2 linked regions of the Rhinolophus ferrumequinum genome follow. The protein of the gene in region 2 purifies or fractionates together with the protein of the main gene of each other region. This does not show direct contact. Links are inferred from orthologs where the notes say so. Each region holds a gene or a part of one and is shown on either strand. Other genes may lie near its edges.

What was found.
Region 1: the proteins of PALS1 (region 2) and PATJ purify together in Homo sapiens (co-immunoprecipitation; 5 studies listed by BioGRID and IntAct, counting the BioPlex papers as one, with this or other methods). This does not show direct contact. The link is inferred for Rhinolophus ferrumequinum from reciprocal best matches to the Homo sapiens genes PALS1 and PATJ.

Annotation. Positions count from the first base shown.
Region 1 is NC_046292.1:45,103,018-45,119,836, forward strand, and holds the start of PATJ (inaD-like protein), read left to right. Parts: upstream 1-10,626; 5' UTR 10,627-10,755; intron 10,756-16,819. Other genes in the region: TM2D1 (TM2 domain-containing protein 1), read right to left, coding at 933-1,090.
Region 2 is NC_046289.1:29,398,464-29,415,210, forward strand, and holds the start of PALS1 (protein PALS1), read right to left. Parts: upstream 7,998-16,747; 5' UTR 7,853-7,997; intron 7,594-7,852; exon of another isoform or gene 7,461-7,593; intron 7,431-7,460; exon of another isoform or gene 7,310-7,430; intron 1-7,309. UniProt on the Homo sapiens protein: Plays a role in tight junction biogenesis and in the establishment of cell polarity in epithelial cells.

The sequences.
Region 1 (16,819 bases), on a different chromosome or scaffold from region 2:
AATGAACAGATCCACTTAACCTCTTCAGCCTGTTTTCTCTTCTGTAAATAAACAGCCAACAAAAAGAGGGTGCCAAAAAATATGTACACATTTTAAAACAGGAAAAAGCTATTAAAATTGTAATACTCAATACATACCGATAACAAAAGATGAATACAAGTCATGTTTTGACTTCTGCAATTACAAGAGGGGCTCAAAGTGGTTACCCTGAGCGTGCAGACACTTCTGATTATGGCGAACAACTGCTTGAGCAACGTTGACCAAAGTGTCCACTTGTATACATTTTTCTGGCATTCCCTGTATATAGACACTACTACCAGTATGTGCCAGGCATTATTCTAAGTGATTTACCTGTAGTACTAATTTATCACAACAGACATTCAACTTGGTTACATTGTTATCTATATTTTTATTCATGATAAAATAGAGTTCAAATAATTTGCTCCCGGTTACAGGAATTTGCTCCCTGACAGTCTGGCAGCTCACGGAGTTTAAGAATGATATAACGTAATACATGTAAAGTTAATGATAAATGGGCAATGTATACTGGCTATATCATTAACTTATTTGTCGCACCCCAAGTTGGCAAACTTCCAGGGTAGAGCCTGTCAATCTTTTTATTACTAGTGCCTAGATTAGGACCTTGCATAGTTGAGGATCGTATGTGTTGTTGAGCAAAAACACCCGCCAGTAAAAATACAGGTGAATCAGAAGAGGAAGCGCCCACAATCGTAAAGTCCCAAGGAAATCACACAGGGTGGCCTTTATTCTTCCCACCCCACATCTCTCTTCATCTCCCAGGGCTCCTCGGTCATTAGAGGCCACAAGTCACCGTTCCCTGCAATACAACTCTAGCCCGCGTTGAGGGCCGCGACCCACTCGCGACCCCAAATCTACCTCGCCCCTATGGGAGTGCTCCTCACAGAGGATATTGTCCTACTTTGAGGTCCTCGCACTTAAGCATCTCTTCGCCCCCGGCGGCGGCAGCTCCCCAAGGTCCCGTGCTTACTGACATGAACCACAGGACACCCAGGAGTTGGGCAGCCACGGCCTCGGGAACAGCCGGCCGGGAGGGCCAGGCGGCCGCCATGCTGGGGACCGGCACGTCCCCCACCACTTCCGGTTCCGCCTTCGCCTAGGAAAGGGCGGGAGGAGGGCGGAGGAGGGAGGCTCTTAAAAGGACAGTGCATCTGCCGCACGCAGGTTCTGTATAAGGGTGGAATCAGCCGGGAGAGCTTTGGTTGATCTTCTAGACCGGAAAAAGGAGATGGCTGTGTTGGAGAATCAGCTACCCTCCATTCACTGCTCTCTCCCGAGCTAACCCTGCCGTGGCTTTTCTGTCCGCAAAGTGCTAGTGGCGCCCGGCGATTTGATAAACGCTTTACAAACATTATCTCCGTTAGTCCTGGTAGCATTTGGGTTTGCACATAACGAACTAGGCTCAAAGATGCTAGTAAGCATGTTGACCTTACTTACTGAGTTGGAATAAAAGTGATGTTTGTCCGATTTCAGAATCTGTGCTCTTACTGTTATGATATAATGACCTCCCAGTTATTCTAGAGACTTGGCGGAAAGCTGCTATGAACAGTACTTGTGGACGCTATCACAAAGCGAGGCATTACAACTTTATTTCTAATGAAAAGTTTAGGTGAAGGAAAGGGCCTATAGCAAGAGAAGACCAAAGAGTTTATGACCAAGTGAAAAATTGGAGGTTTTTTCCCCTCCATCTCTTCTTACTAACTTTCTATACTAAAAGTTCTGTAGTGGGATATCTTTCATACTGAACCAATGTGTACTTTTTAAGTAAAAGTTTAATCCTGTTTCTCTAATGTTAAAACACTTGCATTTGAACGGCACCTCTTTATCCACAGTAACACCAATTTTGAAGGATTGTGTTATGCACTGGTTCTCCAACTTTAGGGAGTATCAGCATCACCTGGAGGACTTGTTGAAACACAGGATGGGCCCAACCCTCAGTTTCTGATTCTGAAGATCTAGGGTGGGGCAGGAGAATTCATTTCTTACAAGTTCCCAAGTGATGTTACTATTGCTGGTTCTGAGACCACACCTTGAGAACCCTGGGATAATGTATGATATGATGAGAGGCGTCATTTTGAAATAGGATGACATGGAATTATGTCAGTAATATTTTCGTATTGTAATGATATTTACAATTTTTCTTAAACTAATTTTGCAGCATTACAGCACTATTTTTTTTTTAATTCCTCTTTCTTGGCCCTTTGTCCCCAGGCACAAGCCTTCTTTTCTCTTTAGACTGTTAATTTTAGTGGTTGGTACCTACTTATAGGTTTCAATATCGAGCTGGATGATTATGACACATTATTTTGAATTTATATAGATATAAATAAGTTATATTTATTTGAACTATAAGCATGTAAATTGGCTTCTAGTTATGTATTCATAAAGAATAGGTGGTCATTTCTACCTGGGCAACCAAGCAGCCCAATACCCGGCCCTCTCAATAAGTTAGGATTGGAGCCCCTTACTCTGTGAAACAGGGGGCCCAGTGGTTCTCTCAGTGACATCTACTTTTCTGGCACCCACAAAGATCCAGTGACAAAAGCTATCCCCACTTCACTGACTCAATAAGAAAGGGCTGGTTTCCTAGGGGGTCTCATGGGCTGTGACACACCACACCACCAAGGTCCTCCCCGTTTCTTCCCCGACCCCGGTCAAGGAAGACAGAGGGCAGCGTTAAACTTCCTTCATTCACATCCCTACCTTGTGAGTCTGTGTTCTCTCTAGGATCCATGGGTTTGGAGGAAAAAGAAGCAACTTCTAGCTCTACTCCTGAACCTAGAAGTCCAGTTCTTAATGAGATAGCTATTTTTAAATCAAAACATCTATGCTTAAAGATTTAAATGATAGGAAATTTGAAATTTACTAGTTTAATTTTTAAACTTTAAAAAGTTTTTGTATGGTCAAGCTAAGATTAGAATGGATAACTAAGTCACTTGCATAGTTTTTATGTGTGTTTATGTGAACTCTCACCATATCGTTAAGTCTTTTGTCATTTGCAGGCAGTTAGGTATTGTTTTACTCTGATGCTGTTGCAGAGTAAAAAAAAAGGTATTGTTTTACTCTGATGGAGTGCAGGACCATTCATAGTCTGACCGTTCATCCTCTGTCTCGTCTGCCAAAACATCCCCCCCATGCTCTCTTCACTCTAGCTGTATAACTCTCCTAACACTCTTCAAGGTACTAACACACCTCTCACTTGTTTTCTTTAGAACCCCCTGCCCTTCCATGTCTGTCCAGTTCACTCCTATTCAACCATCAAAACTTAGCTCAAGCATCCCTTCCTCGGGAAAGTTCCCACCAGCATGATTGTGTCCATCCTCTGTGCTGCTCCGAAGACTCCCATTGCATACCAGGGAGACTATAACTCTGGGCTGCAATGATATCGGAGACAGGAAGTTTGGGGGCTGCATGGGACATAAATTCCTACTCAAATGAGAATAAACAAAAAGGAAATAATAAATGGACCTCACATAAGGGTCATTTTGAGGTATAGCGGGCTTCAGATGGTTCAATGAGAGTTTCTACTTCAGTTCTCTACCATTTTCTCAGACCTGCCTTCCTAGATGCCTTCGCTTTGTCTTCAGGCTAACTTCCCCATGGTAGCAAGCCAGTTGCTAACGGTAATTGGGACAATACACTTAGAGAGGAGGAGCGAGAACCTTCCTCCTAGTTATCTTTCCCTTTGGTACGATGAGGCCAGTTTAGGTCGCATACCCAACCTTGGACCAATTACCATCACTAAGGGAATGGAGAATAATAATTAGTTGCAGACAGGATACCTGAACCAATAACAGGCAAGGGTGTGTGTAGGATTCCCGTGATTGGTTTAGTCCAGTATGAGTCAGCTTCCCTTAAATCACATAGCTTATGTAGAAGTAGGGTGGGTACCTGAATAAAAACGAAGTTCTGCCAGAAGGAAAGAAGAAGGGAATGGGTGCTGTCTAAATCACTGCAGTGGCTGCTTGTGTGTGTACACACACATCTGTCCTCTCATAAGACTATAAGCCTGCTGAGGACAAAATCCATGATTTGTTTATCTCAGTTCCCATTGTCTAGTACAGTACCTGAAAAAAAGCTTGTTTCTGCAAAGATTTTTCGTCATCAGAAATTCCTGGAGAGGACTCTGACACTCTAAAATACAAGTTTCTATTAAACTTTCAGATCATACCATTAAACTGGGTGAAGATTTGCAGAATTCTAAAAAAAACTGGATTCATAAAACTGCTAATAAAAAGATCAAGATCAACAGGAATTAATAACATTGGACTGAATGAACTGGTTAGGATGATTATATTTTTATGACTTTTTATTTGAAATGTTACTTTAGCTTTGTTTTCCAAATACAAGGAATTTCTTTTCCCCCTAAGCTACCTGTACCTACAGCAATTTAGTAAATTATACCTTTAGAAGTAGAATTGAAACATTTACTTTCCCTCCAGAATTTAGAAACTCTTAGTATAAGCTACACCTTCATTTTTTTCTTTTTTTCTTACTTTAGTTCGTTCCTATATCACAATTAATATGAGACGCCAAGCACCTATATTAGTTATTGTTTCCGTTTCCCCCTTTATTTCTGCCTAGAAAAATAACTAAACATTGGGCATCATCTTTAAACCTACTTCACAGGTCAAGATATGCAACTGGTTGCACACATAGTCAAGGATGTTCAATGCCTAGTGATGTCAACCCCAGTAAAGGTACCAGAGTTGGAAGAATACTTTTTCCTTGTGCAGGTATAGCAATGAGAATACATACATGATTAAAAACTTATCAGAAACCTTAGAGAAAATTGCTGGAGCCACCCCCAGAGCAACAGCCAACCAGGAAAAATCTTTAATTCCCTTTTGCAAGTTACATTAGACAATAGGATTGCACTTGACTATATCCTAGCTAAACAAGGTGAGGTTTGCTCTGTTATTAATAGCGCTTGTTGTACTTGGATAAAACAGAGACGAACTAGATAAAATAGAGACGTGATAAAATAGAGACGAACTAGATTAAAATTGGGCACAAAGCCAAATGATTCAATACCATGCCCACTGACCGGTTGTCTACTATCTTCCGCTGACTGCCCTCATGTATTGCCTCCTGGTTCAGATCAATTCTTCAAATTGGACTAAACATTTTGTTTGTTAGTATAGGAATTTTTGCTGTTATAAATGTTTGTTTTGCCTAGCTCGATGTTATAAAGACAGCACTCTGATAATGGTTGCTCAAAGGCTTATGAGACTTCATATGCGAAATCTCAAGAAGCTACAAAAGATTTTTGCCCTTAAAGGAACATGATGGTAAAGATTTCCTTTGTTCTTGCACTCTTGTTGCTCAAATGTGGCCCAAGTCTGCTAAAAAAAAAACACTTTCCTTCCTATGTGGGACATGACATACCAGGAATGATTCTTCCTGGTGATGTGGGACTGACAATGGCATGACATGCCGAAAATGAGCTTACCTGGCAAAGGAGGACCACAGATGCTTTTAACAAATGATCAGTGTTGCTTTCCAATGATTGATCAGCAATGCTTTTGAGGAAAGATCTCAATTAGAAGGAAGAAATATAAAATATCATATAAATGGAGCCACTATAAAATGGAGTCAGAGCTGCTATCCCAGAGGAACTACCTTGAGTGTCTTGCTTCTCGAACCTTTGGAATATTAAAACTGGGCAAAATAACCTTTGGATGGGGCCTAAAGCAGCATTGTATACCAAACAACTGTTTGTAATGATGACAAGAAGGCAGATAGTATGATGACGGGACTGAAAATTAAACATTCTTTGGAGTAACATCACTATGTTAGCTTATCTGCACCTATACATAGAAGTTCCTGCCTTCTCTTGACGTAATTGTTCCCCTTCTCTTATAAATACCCCTTGCCTTCATTTCCTAATTGGAACACTAAGTGAGGTTCTGCGTGAATCAGTGCTTCCCAAATAGCTATTCTTTTGGAACTCAAATAAATGCTTGTTGCCTCTCACTTGGGCCTTTTCATTTTTAGGTTAACACATTATACGTCATTTCATTGCAGTTCCAAGAACCTATGTATGCCACTGAGGATTTACTGTACTTTTCTCCTGACTGCAGGAATATTGTTGATCTTTGTATTTGTGTCATTTTTTATATAGATTTTGAACACCTAACTATTTGAAAATGCTATGCTTTGCTGATTAATCCCTTTACAAAATCTATTTTTATGGTTCTAATAATATCATCATACTCTCCTACAATGTATAAACTGAAAAGTACAAGACTCTTCCCATGAAAGTAAAGAAACAATACAAAAATTTTGACTCTTGAACTGATGGTATATTAAAAAATTCACTTTCTCCTCTTACTGCCCATTAATGTATGTTCTCATAGCACAGTAAAATATATTAATTTATTTGCAAGCATAGTCTCTGATCCCATGGTTACTCCATTGTCTAACTTTAGTAAGAAAGTTCTTAAATCTCAATCCTAGGTATATTTGCAATGCCAAATTTCTTTTTCACATAAAAATTCTATAGAATTGAGGGGTGGCCGGATGGCTCAGTTGGTTAGAGCACAGGCTTTCAACAAGGTTGCCGGTTCAATCCCAGCATGGGATGGTGAGCTGCGTCGCCCTGCAACTAAAGATTGAAAATGGCGACTGGACTTGGAGCAGAGCTGCGCCCTCCACAACTAGATTGAAGGACAACGACTTGGGGCTGATGGGCCCTGGAGAAACACACTGTTCCCCAATATTCCCCAATAAAAAAATAGTAAAAATAAAAGAGTTATTACTATAAAAAATTCTATAAAATTCTTTAGAAAGGAAAAGACATGAATAGCACAGCCCAGTATGGGAATTGCTATATAGAAATATTAGGAAAGAGGATAACCAGTGAAGCCTGAAGAAACAAAACTTCTTCTAGGATTCAAGGGCTCTGCACCTTGGATCTTTCCATTCCTAAGATTCTAGCATATGCCTAATTACGTTAACAGATAGTTTTTTTGCCCATAGCAAAACTTTCTGAGTAAACCAACCTGACTCCTGTTTCCATGGCTATGACAGAAACACTAAGAGATAAAAAATTGTTACTCTCCCCAACTTTTTAAAAATATGACTATAATGGGCAATCCCTGCCCCCCTACCTCCAGTGATAAATTTATATCAGGACTCTGGTAGATCTTTTATAGCTGCACATTTTAAATTCTACTACCATGTTTTCCCGAAAATAAAACCTAGCCGGACAATCAACTCTAATGCGTCTTTTGGAGCAAAAATTAACATAAGACCCGGTCTTATTTTACTATAAGACCCGGTCTTATATAATATAATAAAATATAATATAATACCAAGTTTTATATTAATTTTTACTCCAAAAGATTCATTAGAGCTGATTGTCCGGCTAGGTCTTATTTTTGGGGAAACATGGTATATACATGCTGTTATTTCTCAAGTGTTTCTAATTGTGTCCTCTCTGGTGCGCCAGTCTAGCTGCCTACTTTCCAATTAAATGGGCTCATCGATTAATAAGGCCTACTTTATGCTAAGTATATATCATCTTGAATGTCAAATGTAGGATCTAAAATGGACTTGATCAGAGTCCTGCTTCTCAAAAAACAGAACAGAATAAATTGACTTTTCTAAGTTTCACCATCAATATCCCTTTTACCAAATTCAAAACTTAGAATCCTTATACTTCCGTTTTTTCTTTGTTTTCTTTAATCCCTTTGTCTAATCAGTAAGCAACTGATATATATATATATATAAATATATATATTAAACTTTTGCTTATTTTTAAGTACAGGACCCACCAGCTTCAAGTCAAATAGTTGTTTCAATCTAGTTGTGGAGGGCACAGCTCACACTGGCCCATGGGGGGATCGAACCGGCAACCCTGGTGTTAGAGCATTGCGCTCTAACCAACTAAGCTAACTAGCTGCTCCGCAACTGATATTTTTAAGTGTTCATTTTTTTTATCCTATATTTTCACCTTATTTCAGATGTACCTTATTTCTGTGTACCTTGCTATAGTGGCTCCTTCCTTCCTCTTTTTGATTATAGGGTCCCTCCCCAACTTTGTCAATCCACTTTTCACACTGGTTCCAGATTTATCTTTCATTAAAAAAACAAAAAACCAAAAACTCTATATCATATTCAAAATCCTATTTAAGCTCCTTGGTATTTACCCAAAGGAGTTGAAAACTTGCATCCACATAAAAACCTGCACACAGATGTTTATAGCAGCTTTACTCATAGTTGCCAAAACTTAGAAGCAACCAAGATGTCCTTCAGTAGGTGATGGATAAATAAACTGTGGTACTACAGACAATGGACTATTTTTCAATGCTAAAAAGAAATGAGCTATCATGCCATGAGAATACATGGAGAAACCTTAAATGCATTTACTAAGTAAAAGGAGCAATATTGAAAGGCCATAGACTGTATAATTCCAACTATCTGACATTCTGGAAAAGGCAAAACTATGGAGACAAAAAAAAAAATCAGTGTTTGCCATGAGTTGAGGTGAGGGTTATGAATAGGCTGAGCACAGAGGATTTTTAGGGCAGTGAATATATGTCATTATACATTTGTCCAAACCCATAGAATGTACAACACTGAGAATGAACTGTAATGTAAACTGTGGACTTTGGGTGATAGTGATTTGTCAGTGTAGGTTCAACAATTGTAACAGATGCACCACTCTGGTGGGGACGGTGATAACGGGGGGAGGCTGTGCATGTGGGGGGAGGAGGGGAAAGGGCATATGGGAAATCTCTGTACCTTCCTGCCAATTTTGCTGTGTTCCCAAAACTGCTCTAAATTTTTTTTTAAATAAACACCAATCATTAAGTGTTTTAAAAAGCAAACAAATAAAAATCTTATTCAAATATTTTCAGTGGGTCTTTAATTTCTTAGTGATGAAGGACAAAGTCTTATAACCTAAAGTTTTCTGTAGTATTTTCAGGTTCTCTACCATCTGACTCACTTTATTTACTACGCACTACTGTTGGCTGTCTCCTTACTGTCACCAGTATCTGTTGTGCGTGCTCCAATCTCTGTGCTGCTTCATTTACTGAGTACTTTCTATGTGCCAAGTATATGCAATACATGTATTGCATATATGCAGTAGACTTGTTTGGTCACAGTAAGACCGTGAAGAGGTCAAGTGGGAGATTAAGTTGAAGAATCAGCAAGAAGGGGAGAGTTTAAGAGAGCTTTGGATACTTAGAAAAGGAACTGGAACTTCACAGTCAATCCAAAGTCACATTATTTTTTGAGAAAGGGGTAATATGTTTATAACCATCACCAAATGTAAGAGACCCACATGTTTGCAAAGTGATGCTTTGAGATAATTGGTTTCCGTCTGTATGCCGCCTCTCTGACTTGGGAAGCATTTCCTTCTTTTTATATTAAGCAAATTGCAACGCCTGTTAAGACCCGTTGAAGACCTAACAAATACTTTCAACAAGCATAATAGATCTCTTTATTTTCTGGAAGTTCTGGCTTCATTCTATTTGGTAATTTAATTTATCGTATAAGTTTATTTCTCGTAATAGCTTGTTAGTTCCTAAGAAGTAGGGACCGTGCTAAATTGTGTATCTTTTTACCAGGCTTCACAAGTGATATTTTTAAGAGCATCAAACTAACAATAACACTGCTAAGTACCAAGTGCATGATCTTACACCAGATGACTTTATGTTGCAGTTGTTTTGTATATATGCCTCTGCGAGGACAGGTATCCCATTTTTAACATTTTACAGTCCATCACAATTAACAAATACTTCATTTATTCAATGAATACATACCTGAAGATCGATTCTCTTTATCGTTAGAGTGTGGACTGTATTAGACAAAGTAAAACGCCTAGCATCAAAATCCCCTAGTTATAGTAAAGAGAGCGGAATAATGCCATTGTAGGTTTTACACAGATCTTTCTCAAAGTCAAGTTATGACATCAAAAACAAAAATGTTCAGATGTATAGTGAAGTAAAAACGGGGCTTGGAGTCAGAAGATCCCCTCTAGGTCCCCAACTTGGGGCAAATCACCTAACCTGTCAGGTACGCAGTTTCTTCATCAGTTTCTTCACACTGTAATTGAGGTCATGTATAAGCTTAGCGCCGGCATATTGGTAGTGGATATTGCTGAATTCGTTTCTTTCCTTTTCTCATTGAAGTGAGGGGGGAAAATAACCTCCAGTTATACTTCTTAGAGTTTTATATTGGGTCAGTGCACCTAGAAAAAACAAGGAGGGATGACAGAACGGGATAACGAGGGACTAAGCAGATTTGACCAAATCCTTTCCTCAATATCCTCTTTTAATTTCCTTGATCGTGGGTCTCGCTCTCTGCTCAGCCTCCTACAACACCAGTCTAGCGACCTTCCCACTCCATTAGTGCCGGCTGTCCCCACCACTAGGTGTTTCCTCGGTCTGATCAGCCCCCAGACGCTACCTATTCCAGGATCTTTAACCCTCCCTTGCCCACTGGAATTTAACCTGCAGAAAGGAGAGAAGCCAAGGACCCTGGTGTCCGCTTCTCAGAGTCGGCCTCCCGCAGCCCCAGGCTCCTCCGCCCCCGCCAACGCGGCGCCCCGCCCCGGGCAGGGAGGTCGGTGCAAGGGGAGGGCCTGCCAGGTGAGGCGCAGTCACCCTGGGCCTCTCACTTCCGCCCAGGTGAGGGAGGGCCGACGCCGCGCCCTCCTGCCAGCCAGCCCGCTCTGGGCTCCCACCCGCACCTTCACCGGACCAGGTAAAGCGGGGGATCCCGCTGTGTGGGCGCGCGCAGCGCTCGGGGTCCCTGCGCCTAGGAGCAGGCGAGGGGCAGCCCCTCCTCCTGTGTCTGGAGCCTGCCTCCCCTGCTCCCAGACGCTTGCTCTCCGGCATTCCTCCGCCCGCCCTCCCCGAGGCGGTGGAACTGGAGACGGGGGGAGCTCCTCGAGCGCTCGGAGGGGTCCGCGGGGGGTGCGGGGCGCTGTCCTCCTGCGTCGGCCTGGGTGACCCCACCGTGTCCCCCGCTCCTCTGGCAGGGCTCATCGGAGGCCGCCGGCTGCAGAGCTGCCCCGCCTGGGCAGGCCCTGGCGGCCCTCAAATCTCGGCCCCTACTGATCCGGCAGTGGCAGGGATCAAATTTTGCACCCAGATTGATGCCTGCGCTTCGCCCCCAGAACTGGGCGGAGTCTTTCCTCAACCGGTGACGGTGAAAGGAGTAAAGAGGTGGAGGCCTGCCTCCGGGACTGGGAGAAGGCGGGGCTGCCCAGACCCCAGCGAGGGGCGACTTGGCCTCGGCCCCTTCTGGGAGCCTTGTCGTCACGTAGCCGAGTTCCCAGGCCGACCGTCAGGCCGAGGCTCTGCTGGCCTCACTTTATAGATGGGGAGGACCAGGCGGAAAGTGCTCTGGCCTCCAGCCTTTGGAGAAATTGATGGACGCCTGCTTTAAGTCAAGCTCTGGAAAGCATTTTCAGATCCCTCCCGGTCCCCTCCAAAGCTCCCCAGCCCTCCTGGCACACCTAGCTGGCCGAATTGATATCCCCAGAGAGTGTTCACTGGGTGCTTTGTCATATCTCCCAGATGGCTCTTATCACTTTGGATTCGAATTGTTTACCGCTTTGTCTCCGCGATTGAGAGGGTGCGCCCTTCGGGGCCTTGTTTCTTTGTAGGTTGCTTCCCAGCCGCGTTTTGAGTCAGGCCATCGATAGGTGCGCAACAAACAAGTGTTTCTTGGATAAGACTTCTGGAGAGCTAGAAGAAAAAGAAACTTCAGTTATACCGCGGGTGGTAGTACCACATTCTAGGCTGTCTGAGCTCCTATAGGCTGCCAGTTCTTTTGCACAAGTGTTTTTAAAGGAAAGCTGGAGAGGAGTGGGGGAAAACACTCAAATTGGTTCATTTTGCAGCATCAGAAAAAGTTAGGCGAGATCATGACTTTCAGCTAAAATGAACTTGGTGTTTCTAGGCCCCTAACGGCCTTTATAAGGATTATTAAAAATTTAAAGTAATTATAAAGTTGATGAATATCGGAGCTGGAAGACAATTTTATAGGTAGAATTTATAAACTGAGTTCTGAAAAGATTTGCCCTTGTTAATTGAGATCCTGTTAAGGGTCACATAAGATGAGTTTGCCATCAGAATAGCAGTTTTGTTTAAAGTCGAGAAGAAATTGTTTTAAGCCCTCATCTGTGTTTAAAGATGCCTAAGTTCAAGTCATATTTATTAATATTTTTATAACTATAAAGCGAACATTGATTGTAGAAAAATTGGAATTTTCAGGAAAAAAAACTATAAAGCAGACTCAAAACCATTTACCATTGAAAATAACCACTAATAAAATTATGGTATATTGTCTTTCAGTTAGTATTCTTAAAAAGAAAAATCCGTATATTTTCCCATAGTGAGTTCACTTTTAGAACCTTGTGAGTCTGAGATAGTGCTTCAGCATTCAGAATCCTTGCAACTGCGTTTTTACTTGAAAGCATTTAATAATTATCCTTAATCTAAACAACCAAGCAATCTGAATTTACTTGCTTTGTTAAAGTTTAACAGACACACTCGGACATTAGGTTGGGAAAGCCAGAATGGAGTTTAATTTATTTACTTAAGACTTTGCCCACCTTGGTACTAAAGTTTTTGAGAAACAGGATTATTCCACCTTAATATTTGAGATTGCTTGACCATTGCTATGTTTTTTGTTGTTTTGTTTTTCACACTCACATGTTTTTGTGCAGGTTTGGATGCCTTTTTTAAAGCCTCATTTTCGGTTTTGGTGCAAATGGAGAGAAATTTAGAGCGCATCAATACCCTGTCTTTAGTCATCAGGATAAGATCTATGCTGCAGTCTTAGAGCCCGTTTATTTTTTGCGTTTGTACAGCTGTGCAGCCAGTAGAGTTTGGAGACATGGAATTGAGTCCACTTACCATCTAACTCTTGGCAAGTCACTTGACTCTGGTCCTCTGTTTTCCCATTTGTAAATGATCTATCTCACTGAGTTCTGGGGAGGTTGAAATGAAATAATGTTAAAGAATGTGTCTTGTAAACTGTAAGCCATTCTTCCCACTTTTTGCTTCTCCACTGTGATTGATGTTTAACTCTGATAAAATTATGGAGTTGTGCTATTTTTATTGGGAAGAACTCAAGTCTGTGAGTGTTATTGCTAATAGTTACTTTGATAAAAGGCACCTAGACAGTATTAGCTGATAAATGAAAGTCTTCGCTAAAAGCACTCTACAGGGATCTTTCTGAGAAGGTGTAGGTGAAAACTACTGTCAACATGGTTAGCCACGCGCACGTGTGACTTTTGGGCACTTGAAATAGGGCGAGTTGGGATTGAGATGTGCTATAAATGTACAATACACCTTAGATATTGAAGAGTTAGTGTAAAAAAGTCTAAAATACCTCCTTAATTTTTAAGTATTCTTTACATATTGAAGTGATAATTTGTATAGATTGGATTAAGTAAAATACATTATTAAAATTAATTTTACCTGCTTTTGTTTTACCTCTTTCATGTGGCTACTAGAACAATTCAAGTTACATATGTGGTTCACATTGTATTTCTGTTGAGCACCAGGTTAGAATTCACTACGCGTATGTTTATCCTTAAGAGGGTTTAGTTTACTGAAGCTCTCACATTCCTATTTATAAACTGGTTTTTTTAAACTCCAAAGTTACAGGCCTCTCCATACCTTCTTTCTTTGTATTCATTGCATTGGTGAAAATTTTTGTTCTTCAACCATTCAATAAATAACCATTATTGATTACACAGCAATATCTCAGCTGAAATAATTTAATTATTAGCTTGTTTGAAGCCCCCAAAATATCTTAAATAATTTTGATTGTAAAAAGATGTTAATAATAGAAGCTACCATTTATTGAAAGGGTACCGGATGCTAAAGCATTCAATAAATGGTATTAGATATTAATCTTAGTCCGTTAGGTATGAGGTATTAATTAGATAGTAGATATTAATTAGGTATTAGATGTTAGATAGGTATTAGATTTCAGGTATTAGGTATTAGATATTAATCTTAGTCCTTTCAACTGTAAATATTTAGTCATTTTTATTAACTCGATTTTACAAATGAGGAAACTGAGGTGTAGAGAGATTTCAACAGTTAGCCAGAAGAACCCCAGAGCTGGTCCCAGGAGTAAATCCCAGGTTTCTATGATTTCAGAGCTTATAGGCTATACAGTCTCTCATAGTTCAAGAATTGATTATTGGATCAACTGGGAAAAAGTTGATTCTTGAAGTAGATATTTATTTCTGATCCTGTTTTTGTGTTAGTGACCAATAGGAAACAATCTAAATTCTCAACAACAGGAGATTGGGTGAATAAATTATGTACGAATATTCCTCCAGTGGAATACTATTTACTAGTTACAATCAGTGAAGAGGAGCTGTGTATATCATCATGACTCAATCTTAAAAATATAAAGTTGAGCTAAGAAAGCAAATTCATGAAGGATAAATATATAGTATAATTACCATTTATATAGTTTAAAAACCTGCCAAACAATAATATTGTAAACAAAGAATGCGTTTTAAGAATTTCAGATTTGAATTCTGTCTGTTATTTATTACTTGCATTTGTGAAATTGCCTTGTGGTTAAAAGAACTTAGTACAGTCTCTGTGAGATTAACATTGTCTAGTATTGGTCTTACTCTTAAAAAAACAAAACCAAAGTCCTGCCCTTTGCTTTGGTGATCTGGACAGCTTGACTGGTAGGATGCTTTTAGGTCCTGGTCTGCAGCCTTTCAGGAACAGACCAATTTTCATTTAGCTTTAGTTTCTAATTTATGGGTGTAGCTTTGATGATAGGGGCAGGGTAGGGCTTCTGCCTTGAAAAAGGTGGATTTCCTTTGGAGTTATTTTCTGGAGCTTCTAATGAAGTTCCAGGGACAAAGTGTGGTAGGAGGGAGATGAGTTAAGTAGATGTTGAGAGTCAGGTTGACAAACATTCCCTCTCTAGTGAAAATTTGAAATATCTGACTCTCATTTTTAAAGTAGTTATCTGCTGAAAAAGTCATTAACAGTTGACTTGCTCTACACCCCAAGGTAAAATTAATTCCCCTCAGTGGCATCTATGCTGCCTTTCTCTGTTATCACCTTTTTCAGCGTGCTCTCCCCCTTGTTTTTTGAAATTGTAGGTTTTCTGCATTTGCAAAATAGAGATGATAATACATTGTTAAGAAGATAAATGAGATGATATACAGAATGACCTTGCATTGTACATAGTGGGCACTAAAAAAACTAGTTACTTGATTAAATGACAGATAAAATGGTTTTTGGGAAAAGGCCAGCAGGAGGAAGGAGGGTGAACATTGATGGAAAAGGTGTCCAGAGCCTAGTTTGACCTATTTCACAATTTGCTAGGATTGTTTAGAATATTACAAGCACGCCGGAAATGGCACGACCATATTTCTGGAGCGAAATTAAGGACACACAGTCTATGGTGTGGGGAGAATTGAACAGAATATTTGAGGTGGAAACTCATCATTAGTGAAGGGTATGAATGCCTGGATCTTTTCAAATGAGGAAACTGAGGTGTAGAGAGATTTCAACAGTTAGCCAGATGGGCTACACGATCAGAGATCCATTAGGTAAAAGTTGCCCAGATTTGTTTTCTTGGTCAGTCATTGGAGAAAACTGCCACCAACAGGGATACAAAACCATACCATAAAAAGGTTAACTTTGTTCATACACAGTGACCAAGTTACAGGCAGGATATTAATATGCATTGGATGCATTAACTTTGAATAGTTCAATGAGAAAAATTAGTATTTAGCCAACTGAATTATTCTGAAGAACTGACTCAATTTTCAGTTCTGACTCTAAGTTTAACATGGTGTCTTTCAGCTTCAGTTTCAACATGTCCTCAATGTCCAGCATTACATGGATTTAAGCATTATCTGAGGCTTAGGCGTATGGCCCCTAAATATCAAGGTCATTCTAGAATTTGCATATCTATTTCCAAAATACCAGGAATACAGTATAGTGTTTTGGCAGCAGCCAAAAATATAGTATTTTTTACATCTAAGCAGTTTAGAGAAGGCCTTGTCATTTGGTAGGGACACAGGGCTGCGGCACATGCCTTAAATCTGCACTAGCATGGCAGCAGAGGTGTTTATTTGTAGTTGGAATGAAGAGCCATCATTGCTCTTTGGCTGGGAGAGTTTGTTTTGCATTTAATCAGTACCTCAAATGTTGAGCTTTGAGGACAAAGCCATGATAATTAGACACAACCTGAGCTTTGCACTCCAAAGGAAGCAATAGAAAGTTGTTTGTGAACTTCCATTGTTGAATAACTCCTGAACTCATGACTTCATTTACATTTAATAGCTTTTAGATTGTTCAAACTCTCGGGTCCTTTTGAGCTCTAGGGAATTCCCATTGAGGAGTTAAGTGTAGGTTAATTCACCTGCAGTTAGAGGCTGAGTATCTGTACTTTCCCAAACAGATTGCCAGTGATCTTTTTCTCCCCAAATTTCAAGATAGACGCATGAGATGTCTTGTTAAGTTTGAGATAGATGTATAAGATATCTTGGGGAGTTACATTCTTGTGTGCTGTTGGGGGTCTGAAAACTGTATTTCTCAAGGTCCACAACTCTCCTAAATTCTTGAACTGAGGAGGTTAATAAATCTTTCTAATAAGTTTCCTCCACTTAGAAATGTACATTTAATAGAATTAAATTTCTATTTGTGCGTCATTTTTTTCCAACTATTCCATTAATTGGTGATGGCTAAGGGCATGGGTATTAAAAAACAACAACAACACAATATTATAATTCCTTCAGTCAAATCCTACAGTGAACCAGACG
Region 2 (16,747 bases):
CTTACACATAAATATCATACAAATAATATAACCAATGTAAAGTAGAATTTTTAAGATCTGCTTAAAAATAGCAAGTTTTCTTTTCACATTGAGTATAATACACTTATATTCTAAGTTCTAACTGTATTTGAAAATAATACAAAATTTTATCAGTAAAATTTGATAAGACTTTGCAACAGCTTCTGTTTAAACTTTAGGGGGAAAAAAATGGAGAGCGTGGGACAAGAAAAGTAGATTTCTGAGAAGCCCGAGGCAGGTAATAACGAGCTAACAAACCAGGCAATGGTGTACTGGAAAAAGTACCGAAAAAATTATGAATCTGGTACTTGAGATCCAACCCTAGCCCTGCTAAACTACCAGGGCAAGATTATTCCAATAGCCACCTATCCCTGCCTCTGACCTGTGAAGGAGTATAGATTTCTCTTTTTCTTTTTGGAGGGGAGTTAAATATCTCGAATCCACCTCTATGACAAAAATTCAGAAAGGCAGAAAAATAACTTTCTGAAGCTTCACTTATACCCCAAACATTACACAAAAACCAGGACCTAAACATAGGCACTCTTTATGTGCAACTAAACCTAGTAGCACACAGCCTAGTTCAGTGCACTCACAAATGGCAGTCAATTATTTTAAATGAATGCTGTCTTAAAGGCACGCCTGAAGCAACAAGCAAAATATAGAAACCCTAGTTGTTAGGTCAAATCAAAGTATTCTAATACATTTTAAGTGACATCAAACATTTTCTGGTACAATGTAAAACCCTCAAAATATGAAACTATATTTCAACACGAAGTCGCAGTTTTTTTGATGTCAAGTTTCTGATACTATTGTGAAGCCAAGGAGTTATAACTTTCATCAAAAGAAGCATAGTTCAAAGGACAATTTAGCTTTAAATATAAATAGTTATAATTTCTAAAATTCGGAATAACTAATTAGGTATACTAAAAACTGTCAAAAACTTGAATGAATCTTCTTAATTATTTCACATCTGTTGATTTGTCACAAAGTATTGTGCAGCCATAAAACAAAAGGGGGGGAGGAAGCAAATACTTATTAAGTATTTACTATGTGTCAGAATATTTTGCTCAGTGTCTTCCAAACCTTATTTTAACCTTTTCAATCATCTTCCGAGGTGGCTACATATTATAGATAAGGAAAGTAAAGGTGTGGCAGGGAATTACCTCATGAAGAACTTCCCAACTCAGCTGACGACATTACTACAATTATTTTCATTTCTCCTGCTGACTTTTTGCCTAAAACAAAAGTAGGCAAACTAAACCCACAAGCCAAATCAAGCACACCCTGTTTTTATAAATAAAGTTTTATTAGAACATAGTCACATTCATTTGCACTTTGCACTGTAAGAGCAAAGTTGAAAACTTGCAACAAAAATGATATAGCCTACAAAGCTTAAAATATTTAGTATGTCTCCCTTTACTGAAAGTTGTCAACCCCTGCCTTAAAGGCTCAAAAACGTCAAGAACCTTAGTGGTCTCAAAACTTCAATGTTTAGGGTCTTTCAGACAACTGCTAGCCCAAGAAGGAACTTTAAAATTATATGAGACAAAAGGCCAAATTGCTTGAATTTTTATAATGGTTAAATCATATGATAAGCCCAAATATATAAAAATGATATAATTAAAGAGCTTGATGATAAGGTTACTAAACCCTTATTCCTCTTAAACTGTCTTCTGTAGTCCGAATTGATGGAAGAAAAACCTCACAATTCACAATATTAAATATATTTAATGAAGATGCATCTTTTTACAATGCACCCACACTTTTCATTGTAGCAAAACCGAGCGTGGCTTTTTCTTACAAGTACTTTATTTCATATTTTCACTTAACACATTTTGATCTAATATATTCACTGAGTTGATTCTATTCTGATCAAGCCAAACATTTATCTGATTACTCAAGGATCTACATATTTTCTGGTGTGAGGAAGTCTGTTTTTGTTGTTGTGTTTTTAAAACTCTACTATTGTTATTCCAAGCAAAAAATCCAATTATATTATTTTATCTTCAATTAAAATATACTTTACGATCCAAATACATTTAAACAACTTGCTTAAATTAACCCAGAATGAAGAATGTGTAATTACAGTGACAAAAATAACATTTTCTTTCTTCACTTAGTAATTAATTTTAAACAAGAGTTTTCTAGTGGTATAGTCTACAATCTCTAGTATAACTCTATAAACTCTAGTATAACTCAAGAAAACTTAAGTCTACCAATATGTAAAATTTACATAATTGTTAGTGAATATCTTGACTTCTCTGACTTTATAGTTTAGTTCACAAAATCTTACATTCAATATCCTTCATTTTTAAGCATACATGTTAATGTATATTAGTCAAAGAAAAATAATTCAATTTGATTTTTGTTTGAAACAACTCTGGAGTTATTCTCAGAAACATACAAGGCTGGTTCAACATTTGAAAATTAGTCAGTACACTAACTAATTACACAGTTAACACCCTATTAACAGAATAAAGAAAAAAATCCACATGATCACCTCAATAGATACATTTGACAAATAGATACATTTGACAAAATTCAATGTCCATTTATGATTAAACAGCAACAAAAAACTTCTCAGCAACCTCAGAACAGAAGGAAACTTCCTTAACCTGATTCAGAGAATCTACAAAATGACCTACAGCTAACATATCTTAAAGATGAAAGATTGAAATCTTTCCCTTTAAAATTATGGACAAGGCAAGGATGTTCCCTTTCACCACTCCTATTCAGCATCTCACTAGAAGTCCTATCCAGTGCAATAAGTCAAGAAAAATAAAAGCCATACAGATGAGAATGATATAAACATTTCTGTATTCACAGATACATGACTGCTTAGAAAATCCAAGGAATACACACACACACACACACACACACACACACACACAAATTCATAATAAACTCAGGATATGAAGTCAATATACAAAAATCAATAAAAATCAATTGTATTTCTATATCTTGGCAATAACTAATTAGAAACACAAGTTTTTTTTAACGACAATTTACAATAGAACCAAAAAACTGAAATACTTAGGTACAGGTCTAATAAAATATTTACAGGAACTATATGTTGAAAATTCAAAAACACTTATGAAAGAAATCAAACACTTAAATAAATGGAAAGAACACCATGTTCACAGATTGGAAAACTCAATTTTGTTAAGATATCAATTATCCCCAAATTGAACTATATATTAAACACAATTCCAATCAAAATCCTAGCAGAACTTTTTGTGGATATCGGCAAGCTGATTCAAAAATTTATGTGGAAAGGCAAAAGAACTAAAATACGTAAAAGAATTTTGAAAAAGAATAAAGTTGGAGAACTCACACAAATCTGATTTCAAGACTTATTTTAAAGCTCTAGTAATCAAGACACTGTGATATTGTCCAAGGATAGACACATAGATCAGTAGAACACAAGAGCCAAGAAATAGACCCACACAAATGTAGTCAAATGGTTTTAGAAAGAGACAAAGGCAATTCAATGGAGAAGAGGTAGTCTTTTCAACAAATGGTCATGGAACAACAAAACAAATGAAACTCAACCCATACAAAAATTTCTCTCTTCATACAAAAATTTACTGATAATGGGACATAAATCTAAATGTAAAATATAAAATCATAAAACTTGTAGAAGAAAACACAGGAGAAAATCTTTGTGACTTTGAGTTAGCAGAGTTCCTAGATACAATACCAAAAGTAAGATCTATAAAAGAAAATACTGGACTTCTATAAAAGAAAATACTGGACTTCATCAAAATTTCAAACTTCTGTACTTCAAAAGACACTGTTAAGAGAATGGAAAAGGCAAGCCACAACTGGGAGAAAAATCTCTGCAAATCACATGTCTGACAAAGAACTATACAGAAATCTCTAAACTTGACAATAAGAAAATCCAATTTTAAAATGGGCAAAAGATTTGGACATTTCAACAAAGAAGATATATATAGTAGTAGATGGCAAATAAGCACATGAAAAGATGCTAAACATCATTAGTCATGAGAAAAATACAAATAAAACCACAATTAGATACTGTCACATACCTATTAGTATGACTAACATTAAAAAAGATTTACCATACCAAGTGTTGATGACGATGTAAAGTGACCGTAATACTCACACACTGCTGATGGAAATACAAAGTGGTTCAGCCTCTTTGGAAAACAGCTTCACAGCATATAGAGGGTGCCAAAAAAATGTATACACATTTTAAGAAAGGAAAACTGTGTTGAAACTGTAACACTCAATATATCCCAATAACAAAAGATGAATACAAGTCACGTTTGACTTCTGCAGTTACAAGAGGTGCTCAAAGTGTTTACCATCAGTGTCCAGACACTTCTGATGATGGCGAACTACTGCTTGAACAATGTTGACCAAAGTGTCCACTTGTATACATTTTTTTTTTGGCACCCCCCCCCCCAGTAGTTTCCTATGCTGCTGTAACAAATTACCACAAACTCAGTGGCTTAAAACAACACAAATTTATTACTTTACATTTCTGTTAGTTAAAATTCTGACTCAGGACTCCTGGGCTAAAATCAAGGTGTTGGCAGGGATCCATTCTTTTCTGGGGGCTCTAAAAGTTAATCCATTTCCTAGCTTTTCCAGCTTCTACAAACCACCACATTCCTTAGCTTATGTGTCCCCCCCGGCCCCTCCTCCCCCATCCTCAAAACCAAAAACTGCATCTCTCTGGCCCTGCTTCTGTTGTTACATCTTTTTATCTCACTCTACTGCTTCTCTCTTTCCCTTTTAAGGACCTTTGTGATACACTGCATCCACCTGGATAATCCAGGATAATCTCCGTGTTTTAAAGTCGGTTGATCAGCAACCTTAATATGGAATATAATAGCTAAAACAATTTTGAAAAAGAATAAAGTTGGAGAACTCACATTATCTGATTTCAAGAGCTTATTTTGCAGATGGCTGCAACTTTAATTCACCTTTGCCGTGTAATCTAATTTATTCACAGGTTCCAGGGATTAGGACATCTCTTTGGGCCATTATTCTGCCTACCACAGAGTTTTAATAAAGTTAAACATACACTTACCATATGACCCAGCAATTCCACTTCAAAGTGCTTACCCAAGAGAAAGAAGACTTATGTTCACACAAAAAAAGTTCACAAAGATTTATAGCAGCTTTTTTCATAGTAATAAAAAAAAACTGAAAATAACTCAAATGTCCTTCAATTGGTGGATGAATAAACAAACTGTGGTACATCCATACAATGGAATACTATATTCAGCAATAAAACAGAAGGAACTGCTGATACACTCAACAATATGGATGAACACTCAAATGTATTATGCTAAATGAAAGAAATCAGACTCAAAACGCTAAATACTGTGTGATTTCATTATATGATATTCCAGAAAAACAACCTGCAGAGAAAGACAACAGATTAGTTGCCAGGGATTAAGGATGGAGGGAAGATTGACTACAAAGAGCAGCTCAAGGGAATTGTGGTGCTGGAACTGTTCTGTATCTTGATTTTGGTAGCTGCGCAGCTTTATGCATTTGTCAAAACAACTGTATAACGAAAAGAGTTAATTTCATTTCACGTAAATGAAAAATAAAGTCTTTTTGAGAAAAGAACACAAATACATCATTTCTCACTCATCAGATTGGCAGAGATTTTAAAATCTGATAATGCCAATCTGACAATTCCAAGTGTGGCAAGGATGACTCAGCTACTGTTGGCAGGAATGTAAATTGTTACAACTTTAGAGGATAATTTGGCTGCAGCTAGTAAAATTGAAAATGCACATCAACCCATAGGCCAGCAATTCCACTTACAGGTAAGTTTACATTCTAGGGAAACCTTCACACATATGCTCAAGGAGACATGCATAGGATAGTCACTGAATATTGTTTGAAATATTGAAAAAACTGAAAGAAACCCTCCAGCAGGGGAATGAATTAATTGTGGCTAGTGGTTATTCAAACAAGAAAGAAAAAAAATGAGTAAAGGAAAAAATCAACCCCGTTGGCTACATATAGATGATTTTGAGAGGGGTAACTTACTGGTTTATTTAACAACAGTGTAGAGTGAAAAAGAGCACCATCCTTGGAATCTGGAGACAAGCGTTTTAGTTCCAACCCTGCCAACTAACTAGCAGTCATACTACAGACTGCTTAACTCTTTTCCTGGAAAACGAAGAGGTTAGGCTATACAACCACTAAGATTATTTCTAACTCAACAATTCTATGATTCAGTAAGTATATAATTAAAAATTACATTCTAAAGCATCTATGTCAAGAAATTTTTCCCCAGAAACCCTGAAATCAGAAACTATCAGAGAAATAGGACATCTTAGTATATTGATAAATAAAATGAACCAAATTTTTTGGTATATCTTTGATGAGCTTCTTAATCAAGATCGTAATTCAGAAAACACAGAAACAGTTAATTCCACTCTATTGACTTGGGTCACCCTCAGGTAAAACATTTCCTGTCCCATTTTAACTTTCTAAAACAAGTTACTATTATAGAGGCCCTTGTTAAGTCCAGCTCTGTCTAGCCAAAAGTTATTCAAGTACATAACACTCACTTGCTTTTTTAAAACAAAGATAAAATGATGAATTGCTTTTCGTATTTTTGCCTATTTCAGCTATAAAGACCTTACATTACAATTTAATAGCTTCAGCCTGCTACAATAAAGATCCTTTAAAAACGTGTAATAAGCCATGTCCACAGGGATCTAGTAAAAAATATTAGTTCATAACCCAAAAACAGCTTATTTAACAACTTCATTACCACCAATACTTATATTTCAAAGAGACCAATAACCAACATGTCATTTGTTCCTACTGCAGAATTTAATAGATTATTAACTTCTGGTATAATCCAAAAGCATAATACGATCATTAAAACATGATTATTACTTTAAAAGTTAGAAATATTAATGCCTTTCACATTGTCTGGAAATGTAAAAGTTCAAAATTCTTGTTCTAGAAGCTTTCCAAATCTAAATTCTTACAATTCTAAACAAGCACGGAGACAAAACACACACTATATACCACTTCTAAAAAGCTCCCAGCTATCAGATTTTAAGTTTAGCGCCAACTGCCAACAAAAACCTTTCGACCGAAACCTAAATTCCTTACACATTACTGTATGTCAATCAACTAAACATAAGGTGAGTTATTATTATTAGGAAGTTACATAATTTGCACCAAAGATTGTTCAAAGCGCCTTTCATTAAATGCAGCTTACAACAATTTACTGGCTTCAAAGTCCACCTTGAAAATTTAGAGTAAATTATCAGAAACTACTTACGAGATGAGGCTTCTCTTATTAAAAGTGGTGACAAGGAAGTAAGAACTGTTTGTTTATTTGTTTAAAGAACGCAACCAGCCAGCTGAATACCAGGAGCTGAGTCAGGCAGAGGAACGCTGACTACATTCCGTCTTCTAAAGGAAAGTGTTCGCCCCGCCGATTTTCCCGACCTGGCCTGGAGGGAGTCCTGGGAGTAACGAACTCGGGGACCAGGGTACCGAGGACAGGCGCGACCCTGCCGCGCCCCCTACAACTCGGCCCGGACGGGCAGGAGCCCCGCCAAGGTGGGTCCCTCGCCAAGACAGAGGGAGTGGGCACCGCCAGGCAGCGTTCCTCCAGGGGACAAAGGTTAAGCTCACACCCCCCGCGGCCGGCGGCCGCTCCCGCTGCCTGGGGCAGTCCGCAGAGCAGCCTCGGGTCTTGCCGGGCCCTGCGCGCAGCGTGTGGGGGAGGGGGCAAGCCCGGCCGCCCCTCCCCCGCCGCGCTCCGGGAGACCTGTTGATTAAGACCTCCACACCAAGCCGCCGCTGGTCCGCCTCTTACCTCTGTACCACAGCGGCCACCTCTCCTCCCGCCGCGGCCGTTCCTAAACACTGCAGAAACGACAGCTCCCCGGCGGCACTTAAAATACCGGATAAAGAATCCAGAAACTCCCGATTCCCCACCTCACAATCCTTAGTCCCCGCCCCTGCCCCACCGCCAGTCGCCGCCGTCGCCGCCGCCAGCGACTCCACCTCGAGACCGCGCGAGACCGGCCCCCGCGGCCGCCGCGAGACCGCGCACGCGCCCCCGGGACTCTGGCGCAGCGGCGCGCCTATCCCAGTCTCTCCTGCGCGCGCCCCGCCCGCTGCTAGGCAGAGAGGCTGGCGCGGTTCTCCCAATCCGGAGCCGGCTGGGAGAGAGGGCTCACTCATTGGTCGGCTCTACAGCTCCCGAGCGGCCGGTCGCGCGCACTTGCGCGCCTCGAAGTATAAAAGGCGACCTGCTTCGGGCTCTGAGGCACTAGAGAATTGCTTTGTGTTCGAGCCTGCTGGCTAGGTTGTGTGGAGTCCGAGGTTTCCCTGAGAGGTAGTCGGGAGCCGGCTAACGTTCTCCAGTCCTTGACTCTTACCTCGGTGGATGACTGTCCACTCCTGAAGAAACTCCAGTTCCCCATGAGGCGATTCCTCTAGTCCTGTGAAGCACGGCACACAATCTAACACTTGTTTTAGAAAGAACCATGACATATTTAAACACCTGAACATGTGTCGTGTCCCACAGAATAATTCTCTGCTATCGCAGAAGACTCCAAAAAGCTAGCCAGCTAGGACTGAGTTCTGAAAACAGAAAGTGGATGCCAAGGGCCACAGCTCTTTCACAAAACTCGAGTGAATGGACTTAGAGTTACCTGGGCCAACCCCCATCCAGTGCAAGGAAATCCACATAAACAATCTCCAGAATTCCCTAGAAACTGTTGGCTATATCCAAAATGGGGGCAAAAGGTTAATGTGTGACCTTTTCTAAGTTCTAAAATGCATAAAATAATAATTCAAGAAGCGTCCTCTAGCTGCTCAATGAATTTTTCTTTCTCTAGCTCAGGATTTCTCGACCTCAGGGTTATTGACGTTTGAACCACATTGTTGTGGGGGCTGTCCTGTGCATTACAGGATGTTTAACAGCATCCCTGATCTCTCTGCGGTACCTTCTAGATGCCAATAACACCACTACTCCCATTTATGACCATCAAAAATGTCACTACACCTTGCCAAGAGTCCCGTAGGGGGCAAAGTCACCTCCAGTTAAGAACCACTGATCTAGCTGTTCAAAGAAATGGCTTCTTTAAAAAGAGTCTCTCATTACCCATACATTCCAATTGCCTAATCCCAAGCAATTTTGCGTAACACCCCTACCTAAATGAACCCTCTAGCTACCGAGCCTTGCTCCTCCAGCTGCTTGGACTGCACCCTAATAAAAAAGATCACTATCTGTGATCATTTGAGATCTGAGATAGCAGCTACTGATTTCAAAACATGTGGAAATTATTTTGTAAAGTGCTATACAAATGCTAGTTATTATTTTTATTTCCTAAAGGTATTTTCACTTTAAAAGAGGGCAGACCCTCTAGCAAATAAAAAGTTTATTCTCTGATGAAGCTTATTCTCATTCTCAGAATCCCCAAATCACTCAAATTACTGGCCTTGTATGCAAAAAATGAAGGTAGCTGGAAGAGTGGAAGATATAGAAACTGGATGTAAAGTGATTAGATTTGAGTTTTAGCTTTGATGCTAACTAGTTCTGTGATTTAGATGTGTGACCCAGGTCTCTGGGGCCTAAATTTTCTCATCCGTAACAGGTTAACTACGTTTTTAATTTTTTTTCTAGTTTTAAGATTCTGGTAGCCTCTTCATGTGAAATCTAACATGATAGCATAGGGAGTTTAAAAAATATGATATGCATCCCAAAATAGAATGAAATAGGTCATCTGTAGTTTAAAACCCCCCGTCAGAAGAGTTGTTCATTCTTATCACAAAGCAGTTCACCAACTGAGTCACCCTGGTAAATTTGTAACTAAGTATTTTGGGCGAGTAGTGAAAGCCACACTGTAAAATCAAGTGTAGGGTGGAGAGTAACCATAGTAAATATGCTTCCTCCTTCCTCATCTTGGCATATGCTTAACCCATCATCTGCCAGTAGCCTCTATTACATGTTTACCGGTATGTAATACAATCTTGTGTTATTTCATTAAAGGCTTGGGGGAAATATATTAATATTGTGTTTCATCCATTTGCAACAGGTCTGAAATCTCAGTTTTCAAGAGTATACCATTTACTATTATATGTGAAATCCTTAACTAAGTCTATTATATCCCTTTGGTTTTATCATCTCTATGTACTAGTGAAAGCCAAAGATTTCATAACTGAATTGGTAGCCTAATCGCTGATAGTTATATGAACCAGATGATCAGAAATAATGTAAATTAAAAGAAGAATACTGACTGATTCAGGTATAAGAGAAGTTATGAAACAAGTTAGTAGGTACATTAATTATTAAGTATTTAAATTTTTTTAAAAACCAAAAAGACAAAAAGCAAATCAACAAACCATGAACTTTTCTAATTTAATTGGGCTTAGTTATTATTATGATGATGATGTTTTGTAGCACTTCTTAACCTTTCATAACGCTAGCTGAAATGATTTTGTCCCTAAGCTAAGAACATTATGCAGTTGTTGCCAGGTGCAATGGGAGGTCCCACCGTCTGTGGTTAGCATCAGTAACCATCCATACAGGCCAGTATCATTCAACTCAATTAACGTTAATATATAGTCACGCATTAATTCAAAAAATAATATACTGAGTACTTCCTATGTGCTTAGTACATGCTGCAGGGAACTGAAACATGTGGCAATCCCTATCCTGGAGGAATTAAGTAAGGTGGGGAAAGGACAAGATGAGACAAGTCCATATAACTAAAATATAATATAGTAAATGAAAATAAGGTGCCCTGTGGACTCAAAGAAAGGTAAAGTCTTATACTAGGAGAAGCTTTACTATCTAATGAGGAAGGAGAGGGAAGGGACAGAGAATAAATTATTATGAAAATACCCACAATAAAAGGAAAACCAAGATATTATGCATGGCTTTAAAAGATAGACATAAAACTTTTTATCAGTTTGAATGACTGAGGGGTGTACACAGAGAAAAGCATGGGCTTATTATGGGAACAGCAAGTAGTCAAAATAACTTCAGAATATCATATTCAATATTTAGGATGTTAGTCATTTATCACACTTTTATTTGGACCCATCTTAGGTGGTCCTCTGCTAGGCTGGGGATGTGTAGACAAATAAAATATGGTCCAGGATAATTTTTATTTTGGAGAGAGAAGGTAGGCAAACTTGGAGCTTGGAAAATTTTCTAATGAAGAAAAGGCCTAGACTGAATGCCAAGAGAAATGAAGTTAAGTTTGTTCTCTTAAAAAGGGCTATAAAATTACCCATGTCTTTTCCTCACTAAGCTCCCAATCAAATCTTTATTTTGTTTGTGTAACAAATCTCAGCTGCTGCTTTAATTCATATCCATATGTGAATATCTGTGACTTGGTCGGGAGTGGTATCTGTGCTGAACTCCAAAGAGTTGAACTCTGATGTCATTTCTATGTTGTCTTGGACTAACTCTGATTAAGATTTAACTCCACCACTGCTTCAAAGCAGGCCTTTATCAATGTCATCTATTAGAGCCACTTTGCTAAATGCAAAAGGTCAATGTTCAGTCCTCGTCTTCCTTGACCTGCCAGCAAGCATTTGGTGCCATTGAGCATTTTCTCCATTTTGCCTTCTGGGTGCCTAAAACACCACCGTAGCTTTTCTTTCTATCCTCTGGAACCTCCTTCTCAGGCTCCTTCCCTGAATGCTAAAAGTTGGATTGTCCCAGGGCTCTAACATTCAACATTTTACTTCTCTCTGCCTGGATTTGAATCCCAACTCTACCACTTGATAGTTGTTTGATCAGAAGAAAATCTTTGAATTTCTCCAAGATTCAATTTCCTCATCTATAAATTGCAGATAATAGAAATAGCTACCTCTTACAGTGATTGTGAAGACTAAATATATCTATATATGTAAAGTGCTAACGTGCCAGGCATTATATACATTATTTGTCCTTATTCTTTTCATCATGTTCTTTATTACTCATTCCCTACAGGATTGCATCTGGGCTCAGTGGCTTTGAATTTCATCTACACACCGTCAACTCTAAATTTATCTCTAGCCTGAACTTCTGCCATAACTCCAGAATCATATATTCAACTGTTGGCTCAACATCTCCATTTGAATTCCTAATGAGCATTAAAACTTTAACATGTCAGAACTTTTTGTTTCTCTAGTTTTATTCATTTTAGTATATGGTAATGCCACTATTCCAGTTGCTCAGGTTTTCTTCCACACTGTACATCCAGTCTGTAAAGAAATCCTTTTATTTCTACCTTCAAAACATATCCAGAATCTAACGACTTCTCACCAACCCTACTGCTACCACCATACTCCAAGATAGCATCTTTTGCCTGGATTACTGCAATAGGCTCTCTTCCACCCATATTTTCTCTTTTCAGTACTACAACCAGTGATCATACACACAGACACACACACACACACACACACACACACACAAAATTAAGTTCGTGAACTCATCCTAGAAGAAGTGCTACATATGCTACATACCTCATTGCTGACTATCACTATGGTCACCTTCAAAGTACTCCCCTTGGGAAGCTATGCATCGATGCCTAGTCCACTCTTCAAAGCAATTTTGGAACTTTTTTTCTGGAATGGCCATCAGAGCTGTCAACGTATTACCTTTGATGTCCTGAATGCCATCAAAATGTCTTCCTTTCCATATTTCCTTTATCTTGGGGTAAAGAAAGAAGTTGTTGGGGGCCAGATGAGGTGAGTAGGGAGGGTTGCAACACAGTTGTTTACTGGCTAAAAACTCCCTCACAGAGAGTGCCATAGGAGCTGGTGCATTGTCTTAATGCAAGAGCCATGAATTGTTGGCGAAAAGTTCAGGTTGTCTAACTTTTTCACACAGCCTTTTCAGCATTTCCAAATAGTCAACTTGGTTAACTGTTTGTCTAGTTGGTACAAATTCATAATGAATAATCCCTCTGGTGTCAAAAAAGGTTAGCAACATCATGGCAACAAGTTCACAAACTTAATTGTCAGACCGTGTGAGTATAAAATACAATTTTTTTTCCTAGCTATAGGATTTTTGAACAAGTAACCTCACTAAGCTTCACTTTCATTATCTGTCTGTAAAACAGGAAAGTAATAATACCTGTCAGATTATTATTGTGAAGATTGAGAATGCATGCAAAGCACATTGTAGAATGGCTGGCAGCTTTATGAGAATGAGTAAGTGGTGGCTTTTAAAATTCAAACTATTCTTTGGATGGGGACTATCTGTAGTTTCTTTATTATTTTTTAAAGTATGGGGATTTTTTTAAAAAAAACCTGTTTGAAAATGGCGTTCACTGATTCCATAAATACTGTCTCTCAGTCCAGGTGCTCAGCTAGAAATAAAAGACAGAAAGAACGAGGTCCATCAAGGACCATCCAGGACCCCACAATGCCCAGTGTTAGAATCAACATAGAGTTGGGCTAATGTCCGAAAAGAAAAGTAAAACCAAAGAGGATAACAACTTTCTTCAACAACAGCAAAATAAAGAAGCCCTACAACTGAGTTTATGAATCGAAAACCTTATTGTTTTGTATTGTTCTCTACCTTCTTTCATAATCGACATCCACAGTAATTAAGATTTAAGAAATTAGACTGACATGGATTTAAATGCTTAATGATCAGTAGTAGCCTTTATTTCTGCCACATGGAAGATGCTGCTTTGTTATTCCCTTGTGTTGGTTATTATTTCTTGAGCTGTGCTTGTTTTTTAGGTTAGTAGTTTGTGTTTATCTGGAAAAAAAAGATGGAGAAGTCCGTTCAATTAATTCAAAAGTCTGAAGTACAGAATAAGATTATTTCTGTTAAGTTAAAAACTTTAAAAAACTAAAAATGAGTAAAATAAGTAAAATTACATTTATAATACTGCTTTTCTTCTTAATGTAACAATAAAGATCCTTTGGACAGATTAAGTTCTCATTTTTTAAACCTAGAGCTTGAAGCAATATTAAAGGAACCTCTTAATTTCTTAAAACTTTTGTTTTAAGCTACTTCTACCCATGTAAGAATCTAATAAATCAAGATGTCAAGATTAAGATTATGGGCTTTTATTTTTTAAGACTTAGAGGCATGTCATCGAATTATTTTCAACTTCTTGATCTATGCTAAACTGAGTCCTAAAATAAGTCATATTTGTGTGAGATTTACATACACATCATGTATACTCATTGAAATAAGAGGCCAAGTTACTTTCACATGACTTCAGTTGTAATAATATGCTTTTTGTTAGTAACAAACTTTTATTCACCATTTAAAAAAAAAAACTCACCTACCTTTTCCCATATATAAGCAATTCACAGTTTGAATATTTGGGAGCCACTTTTTAAAGTTTCGGAAGTCAAGATTTAAATATGGTATATATATCATCACTTTTGCCCTTCTTTGCACATCAATTCCATCATCAGAGCCCTGAGGAGAGGAGCATGTCATTCCTGCCAAGGCTACTCCTGGTTCTTCAACCTTCCCTTCAATTCTGCAAACTCAGCCCCAAGGAACGCGTGTGCGCGCGTGCACACACACACACACACACACACACACACACACAGCATTAGTTATGTTAGGAGAGGAAGCTGAATTCTAAGTAACTCACGCCCAAGCTAGTGTCTCAAAGAAATTTACAATAGAGTGGGCCAGGGCCACCATGTACAGCTATGCAGGTTAGACTGCAATGCGAATGGGGTCCCCAGCACTGTGCAGTGTACAGTCTGCACAACGGTACATGGCAGCCCTGTAGGTACTCTATGAGTATTTATGTGATTTTGGTATGAAAGAAAGAAGCCTTGGCTGTGTTGGCTAATCTAAGAAAGCAGGTTGGGAAAGAGTAAGATGAGAGAGCAAAAGGGAAGAGTAGGAATGAGAATGAAAGGAATCACTTGTAAAAGCAGCAGCAAGTCATTCTCTTCCAGTGCCTTATCTGAAGCTTCCTTTTCTCCCTCTGCTGTTACATTTTGACCCATGATGGATTCTAGAGTGGAAACCACAACAAACCCTCCACATTCCAGTTCATCTCTATTGTTACTACAATAGAAGTAGTAAGATTCAGTGTTAAAAGACTCAATATTGACAACTTTTTGTGGAAGTGTCATGTCTGCCCTTTATATCTATAGAGATTTATAATTTTAAAAAATTACCTTTAGGTTGTCTTACAATGTTTTTTTCCATTGGCCTTTGCTTTTTCTGTTTTCCTTTCCTTTCCTCACATCCATTCCCCTGAGAAAAGGGGAGACAGATAAGGCACAAGATTGAGGAAATTAGAAGAGGATTCAAGGGAAGAGAGCCAGAGGGCAAAAGGAAAAACAGGGAAAGTGAAAGAGAGAAGGCAAGAGAGAAGGCAAGTGAGGAAGAAAGGAAAAAGCCAAAAGCAAGAGATAAAAAAAGCACGGAAGGAGAGAGAACTTATTTTGGGTCTCAAATTCAAATCATGTTTCTTAGCCACCTCAGCAAAAATGTCTTTTATTTACCAGTGGAGCCCATTGTTAAATTTCACAAACAGGTTCCCTTTAGGGTCCTCCCACCTGTTCTCTTGTTAGCCTGGGTTCCATAAACATAGAAAAAAATCTGGCTGTTTAGGATTCCAAGAAATTTAATTGGCATTCAGAAAAGAAAGATGGGTTGGAGTGGGAGGATACTCCCAGTATTTCACAGGTATTTTCTCCTCTCTTCTTTTCTTGAATCTCTATTGTTTGTGTCCTTTCTTTCCATCTTGGAAAAATACCGTAGGATCAGAGATAAGCCTATTGTTTGGGCTCACTGTAAAGACATCAGCAAAGTGAAGGGGAATAAAGCCTAGAAAAATAAGCAATTGAAAAGTCAAGAAGGAAGAAAGAGGGACTGAGATCCAGAGAGAGAGGTTTAGCCTGGCCCTGCCATAGCCTTTTCGTAAAAACAGTACGTTTGAAGTGCCACTTTACCCAGAATCCTATTCAGGAAGGAGAAAAACGTATGATTCTTTCAAACTGCTGAGAGTTGTGAGAGATGAATCAGAGACCATGCCCCCAACTAGCATTGCCCAGGAGTTGGGTTAATGTGAATCTGACAAGGTTAATAGTACCAGGGGTTTGTTTTATTGCCGTGGGATAGCTTATTATCCTGGTTTCTGTCTAGAATAGAAATCAGATTTACAGACTCATTTTTAGTCTACACTCAGTGTAAATTCAATGGAACAAGGGATTAGGATTCTATTAATCTTTGCTTTTCTTGGGGTAAAGAGTGTTAAGCGTAAGAGAGTGTGAAAGGGGAAAAAGGAGTGTTTCAGAGGAGTGTGAAAAGGGGAAAAGAAATGCTAATCAGAGGGAAAATTGAAAAACTATACAGTCCTAAGAGGGATGGGGAGATACAGGAGAGAAAAATGGAAAGGATGAGAAAGTGAAAGAAAACAAATAGGGAAATAATTAATACTTTTGTGAAAACCGCATGCCAAATTTGTATCTTGTACCATCCTTGAAATCTAAGACTCGCAGAGTGGAACTTGGGTGTATGTTTGCTGTTCGCTGCTTTGCTCCTTATTTCCAGAGCCCCCCTTCAAGCTGCCTGCTACATTTAGAAAGATGGGCCACCAGGACCACAAACATATCCCAGCTTGTTTCAGGGACTCCCTACTCCCTAGTCACGAGCCTCCCAAACTCGGTCATCTTCAGTTTTTTTTCTCTTGTCCCCACAGGAAGACAGTCAATAAATCTTGTTGACTACGTACCGTGTTTCCCCCAAAATAAGACGGGGCTGGACAATCAG